2 linked regions of the Caenorhabditis elegans genome follow. The protein of the gene in region 1 purifies or fractionates together with the protein of each later gene. This does not show direct contact. Each region holds a gene or a part of one and is shown on either strand. Other genes may lie near its edges.

Region 1 (3,130 bases):
TACGCAAAAAAAAAAAGAATCCCTATCTTCCGACGAGCATCATGGGGTCACAATGATGTCATATCGAACGGTTGACCTTCCAGTCTTCCATTAGAATCCCGCCTACACTACTTCCCATCTTATCTGTTACATCAGTAACGAACCTTTCGCTTCGTGAGCTCTCGTTTCTGGACATGCGATATTTGTCGTTGTGAGTTTACAGAGACTCTGGTCGATGACTCCTTTGAAAATTCGACCATCTTAAATATTGGAAATGGAATTTTAAAAATGCGTGAGAGAAAAAAACACAAACCTTTTATTAATTTTGAAATGACTAGAGTTTTGAATCCATTTCGGCGGAACGAAAACCTGCAATTTGAAATCGTGTGGTATATGAGTAGCAAATAAAAGGTCGTCTGTCGCGTCTGCGCAATGGTGCTGGGTTAGTGTCTGTGTGATGACGTAGGAGGCTTGCGGACAGACAGGTCTGCCTAATGGTGCACCCCAAATCGGCAATGGGGTGCCGTTCAAAAGAGTATTCACGGGTTGGGGAAGAGTTTGAATATGTTTGCTCGTAGAACAACTGTACAACCCATGATTTGATTGAACGAGTTTAAAATGGCTGATAACAAGCCACTTTATCGAAAAATTTTGAATGAGAATAATAAAAATAAGCTTCGTGACTAAAACAACAAAGTTTACAAAAGAACAGAGAGAAATTTCAAAAATTAAGGAACAAAAACGTTCATTCGGTCTATAGACGATCTATTACAAAAAGAAACAATACACCATTCAAAATCGAGAGCTTAAATTTATTGCTTGAGGGCAGCATTACGGGCGGCTTGTTCGGCTTTCTTGGCATCACGGGAGGCAACATATTCAGAGTGGTCCTTCTTGACTCCTTCAAGAAGCGAAGCCAATGTTTGTCCTTCAAGAGCGGATTGAACTGCAGAGTCAACCTGGAAACGAGCATTTTAATGTTTTTTTTTAACTCAGCACTTGGAACAGCCTATTAATAATCTAAAATTTATAAGATATACATTAATCGGGTTACTTCTGGTTCTCAGATTATCAAATATATTTACAAAAACAAAAGCTGATTTTTTAAAAATTATTTGAAACTATTTTGGTTATTAATCGACAAAAATAAGGATGTTTCTTTAATTTACTTCGATAATTCATTTAAAAATTGTTCAATCGAGCGATACTTTTGTAACTGAAATTTTTTTTAGCTAATTTTATTTTTTAAATAAATCTTTGTTTGTTTGTCTTCATTTATATTACCTTAGCAGCTTCAAAGTTAGTTGGGAGCTTCGAAACAACATCGGCGTTGGCGAGCTGGAACTTGGTGGCCAATCTGTTGAGCTCTTCCTGGAGAGCCTTCTTAACGGCTGGATCAGAGTTAGCCAGGTTACCGGCGTTCTTGGCGATTTCGCGGATCTTGGTGACGAAAGTCTGCTGGATCAAGTCCTGGCGGCAAGCCGCGGTGGTCGAAAGAGAACGGACTGATTGGACTGCGCGGAACATACCTGAATATAAATTTAGAAATTGTTTTCTGTTCAAAGGATGTTTATAAGTATCGAAGAAAAGGCACCGGAAACCAGGAAAATCAAACAAAGCGCAAAATTCCACAAAACAATGATTTATTAAAATATTTACAAAAATAAACATACTCAAGAGAGGGGAGGAAAATTTAAAAAAAAAATGAAAATGAACGTTTGGCGGATCAATGAAGATTGCGAGCATATTTCTGAAAATATCGGGAATGAAAATTAATAAAATTATTGCTTTAAATTGAAACTACACGAATTTTTAATATTTGGGGACACTTTTCATGCGGGAATTGGTTATGGACTAGAGTTTATGGAATGATTAGAAGATCCGGTGAAAAAATTGACTAGGAATTTGTGAAAAAAAAAAGAAGTTAAAAAATAGGGCGAGACGGAAGAAGAATAGTGGTGTGAAAGTACGTAAGAGTGAACATTGACCGCACGACTAGTCCGCAAACACCGAGCCTACTGTACGCCATTTCGCGTTTGCCACCTCCACCAGCATGTCTCGATTTTATGCCGAGAAGCGGAAAATGAACTGAAACTAGTATTATTTTTTCTGTATTTATTTGTTATCGAATTGGTACTAGTTAGCTGAAGCATAAAAACAAAGGATGTGAAGGACCTTCGAAACATAAGGAGCCTTTGGAGGTTACAAACGGGAAATATCCGTACAATAACTGATTTGAATAGTTTATTGTTAGATGTTTGGACATAAGTTAGTGAGGCAAATTGGAAAGCAACAAAAATATGTGAATATGATAAGCTAAATATCACGTATTTTCGCAGTAATTAATCATCCTGTACATTTCTAGAACATTTCTGAAAAATTGTACTGCGATTTGTGAATTAATCTAGTGAAGCAGGTGCTGACTGTGTGAGAATCTATTGAGCTGATTTTCCTCTGCATACCTGGAAGAGCATTCCAAAAACGAATGAGGCCATTACGATAGGAAGAGTCGCAACATTCATCAGATTCAGAGAGATTCGTTTTCCCGTGAGGCGTCGCATTTGATCGAGCTTTTGTTGGCTTAGTGGCGGGTAACGAGCTCTGAAATTAATGCGATTAGGTATCGAAGGTTCGGAAAAAACGTACGCTAAAAGAGATTCTCCGAAGAATCCTCTGTGAAGCACAGACTTTTCATGGGTGAATGTGTCAAATCCATACTTTCCACGGTAACGTCCCATTCCAGAGACACCTACTCCTCCGAACGGGAGAGTATCAACTGTAATTCAAAAATTATTCAGATATTTTAAAATTAAAATAGCATACCAGTAATGTGCATCAACACATCGTTAACAGTCACACCACCACTGCTAGTCTCATTCAAAAGGCGTTTAACTTTAGCTTCATTTCTTGTGAAAATGTAAGCAGCCAGAGGCTTCTCTCCATCAGCAATGTACTCAAGCGACTCCGAGAAAGACTGGACAGTGATGATGGGCAGGACTGGACCAAAAATCTCATCATGCATGAATGGATCAGATTTCTCAACGTCAAGGACAGTTGGAGGGATGTAGAGATCTGCACGATCACGTTCTCCACCGATAAGAACAGCTCCTTGAGTTTTATCGAGAAGCCCAGAGATGCGACTGGAAGAAGA
Region 2 (3,348 bases), 4.7 Mb from region 1:
CATTTCTGAACTTTTCCTTGACGAATTACCATTTTGTGCAAATGAGGAGCGTCTACTGGAAGCCAAAGAACCATTAGATGTTTCCGAAGGCTGACGCCGCCGTCGTCCCTGAATTTAGTTTTTAAAAAAACTTTAGAAAATAATAAAACTAACCGTTTGTTGACGCATTTGCATCAGAAATACTTAGGTAACCCTGAAATTCTTAAATGTAGAAGAATCAAGAAACTGCAAAAAAATTTCGGAAAAGAATAACAAGTCAGGCCTGTCGTGCCTCCGTCTGTTTGTTTCATATTTATCGAATCAAGATAAGAGACAACGCGTCTGGCGCCTCTTGATTAAATGTGATCTATCACTTATTTAGAACAATAGTGCACTTCACGCCAATTCTTGATCTTTACATGGAATCCGAATTCAATGTACATAATACACTGACATTAATTGAAACTATGGAAATATTCGTTCAACTTCATTAGTTGGTTTTAACATGAAAAGAAAAAACTTGTTTTGATATCTTCAATCCGATCATCGAAGGTAATCAATGATGCCAACAGATTCTTTTCGCGCGAATTGCAAAGAAATTCTCATATAATATAAAGGAAACATGCGAAAGTTCTTTATCTTGCCATCACTCTTATGAAATACATAATCTGAAGAAGGGGGTATCGACTGCATAAGCTCCCAGGCACATAAAAAAATTCGACGAAATTATAAAACAAACGGCTACAAAACAAATCAAAATGGTCTTAAAAATGGTAGGAGAGCGATAAGGAAGAACGAGAGTTGTCTACTGAACGGTACATCATGATAAATCGTTTAATGGTCGTCAACCTTGTCGGCACGTCGAAGAACCTGAAAATTAATAAATATGACTATAATTTGGTAAATTTCTCCACCTTGTAGTCCTTGAATCTGTTCTCAATTTCTGGAGTCTCGTTGAGTCCGATGTTGCATGGATCAGGAATTCTGTTCTGGTAGCGAAGATCATAGAAATGAGCTGGGAAATACTCGACGAAATGCTGACGATCGAAATGTTCAACTGGTGGAGCCTTGGCCCACTTTTCCTCCACCTGGAAAAAGAATATTAAAAATCTTTTCGAAATAAAAGTAATAACCTTCTTGGCCTCCTGAAGTCCATCAGCGACCTTGACCTCATGAAGCTTAATACGGGCGTTGTTGTAATCAACCCATTGGTCTACTTCCTTCAAATACTCGGCTGGAACCTCTCCGTATGGGATCTTTACAGATTCATACTGCTTTTGAAGAGAATCGAGAACTGCCGAATGAGCCGGGAGGGCCTTCTTCAAAGCAGCAAAGTCGATCTTGGGAAGATCGGCCGGGAGCTGGCTGACAGCGGATTGGAAAGTTCCACTGACTCCCTTCACGCGGGTGAGTTCTGCGGCGTGTTCCGGGACCAAACGCTCGGCTGAAATTAAAAGTTAAAACACTAAATTGTGGAGAAGTTATTTATTACATACGTAAAATACCGTAACTTGTGACTTAAACAACTTACCGAGCTTCGACCAGTTCACGGAAGACGTCGCTACCCTCTTAGCGGCTCCAGACATACCTATAAAAATTGTGATGTTTTAACCTTATTTAGATTAACAGGAAAACGATTTTTGAAAATAAAAAGTAAATATGCTTAATTAGCAGGAAAATTGAATCGTTCACAAACAAAGAAACATAGAATAACTATTTTGAGTTGTTTTCAATTTTTAAGTAACGGAATGAACTGAAAAATAAGCTAAAACAGCTGAAAAGCACAAAAAATAGTATTTTCTGTTCAAAAGGGTGGAGTCTATCGCCCGTGAAAACGCAAAGTGCGGCGCGGTTTTCTCGGGTTCCTCGGCCATTTTTATCGGCCCTCGGGACAAAACTCGGCCACCAAAACCGATTTCAGATTTTTACTCTTATTTTATCAATTCAAGAATTTTCCTTATGTTGCTGATTATTTTAGTGGTATCTGTAGTTAAAAAAAAAAACAAAAAAGACATTGTTTCAGTAAAATGATGAACGTCCAACAAGAGCTCGAAGAGCTTATGCTTACCTATGAGGGGGTCTGCGCAATCTTCATCACTGATCACGATGGAGGTCTCATTCTGAATATCGGTAAGTATTTTCATCAATAAAACCAATAATTAATATAAACTTTAAAAATATAACCATTTTTCAGGTCTTCCATCGACATTGGATAATTCTAGATTCAGGCAACAGCTGATTGTCAGTCACGTGACAACAATCCCTCAAATTCACAAACTCGACATGGGTTAGTTATTGACTTCTCATTTTTATTTCTACTCAGTTATGTTTTAGGAGGTCATCAAACAACCTTTGCATTGTACGAGTCCCACCAAATTGCTGTTCATTCTATTGACAAGTATTATTTCATTGTTCACGCTGGAACCAACACGAACACTGGCGCCATGCTCTCTTTGCGTGAGAAATTATTTCCCATCGGCAGTCATATGATGTCACTTTGCCCACCAATTGATGGAGATGCTCTTTTACCACCACCATCGTACCCTTCTGCAGCTGCACCTCCCCCAGATTTCGACTAATAATTATGTGGTGGCTGCTCTCATTTTCCTGTGATTCCATGATTCGATATCTTTACTCAGCTTTTCAAGTTCATGCCAATCTTAAAAAACCAATCTAACTTTTCTTGTTTTCAAATTATCATACCCAATAACCGTATTTCCTGTAAAAACCTTCCCAGTTTTCTATTGATTCTCATCAAGAATAAAATTAAATTGAAAGATCCGTGGTTACAGAACATGCCTGTTTTCTCGTTGGTTTCTGCCAAAAACTATCTATTTTATACATCTCTAACGTGAACTGACTATAGCATAGATCAATCACTCTGATCGTTTTTTTTTCACTGACCGTACTGATCAAAATCATTTTTCAATCATTTCTTTTAGATTTACTCGAATGCAATAAAGTAAGTCTTATCAAACAAAGATATGCTGAACAGAAATTGGAGCAGTTTTTTGTTTAAACAGGTAAACAATATTTTGATTGAAGTGTGTTCAATTATAATACGTTTAGGTTGCACTGTATCGAAACTTCCGTCAAAATTGGTCACGATTCAAGACGAAAGCGTAAGTCAACTATTATGGAGTGAAGTAGGACCAAAAAAGTCTTACCAAAAAACAAAAAAACAGATTTTGATTTTGGACCAAGAACTACAAATTGGAATTTGTGACCATAAAACCCAAAAAAAGTCGATTTTCGATTTATTTTGAACTTTTAGAAAAAATCATTGAAAACCATTAAAACATATTTTGCTTAAGAAGATTTGTAAAATATGAAAAAAAAGCGTAGATTTTAGTCCAAAATTCGAAAATT

What was found. The genes of interacting proteins can lie anywhere in the genome.
Region 2: the proteins of atp-4 (region 1) and atp-5 purify together in Caenorhabditis elegans (affinity purification with mass spectrometry; 2 studies listed by BioGRID, with this or other methods). This does not show direct contact.

What each region holds. Positions count from the first base shown.
Region 1 is NC_003283.11:6,425,605-6,428,734, forward strand, and holds atp-4 (ATP synthase-coupling factor 6, mitochondrial), read right to left. Parts: upstream 1,509-3,130; 5' UTR 1,507-1,508; coding exon 1,264-1,506; intron 939-1,263; coding exon 792-938; 3' UTR 642-791; downstream 1-641. Other genes in the region: T05H4.11 (DUF4706 domain-containing protein), read right to left, coding at 144-239; alh-4 (Aldehyde dehydrogenase), read right to left, coding at 2,322-2,351, 2,442-2,580, 2,626-2,755, 2,803-3,119.
Region 2 is NC_003283.11:11,122,301-11,125,648, forward strand, and holds atp-5 (ATP synthase subunit d, mitochondrial), read right to left. Parts: upstream 1,568-3,348; 5' UTR 1,566-1,567; coding exon 1,511-1,565; intron 1,424-1,510; coding exon 1,113-1,423; intron 1,068-1,112; coding exon 894-1,067; intron 850-893; coding exon 814-849; 3' UTR 601-813; downstream 1-600. Other genes in the region: mboa-2 (O-acyltransferase), read right to left, coding at 1-108, 154-174; lmtr-3 (Late endosomal/lysosomal adaptor and MAPK and MTOR activator 5), read left to right, coding at 2,010-2,109, 2,174-2,266, 2,314-2,558; strt-7 (Phosphatidylcholine transfer protein), read left to right, coding at 2,964-3,002, 3,049-3,101.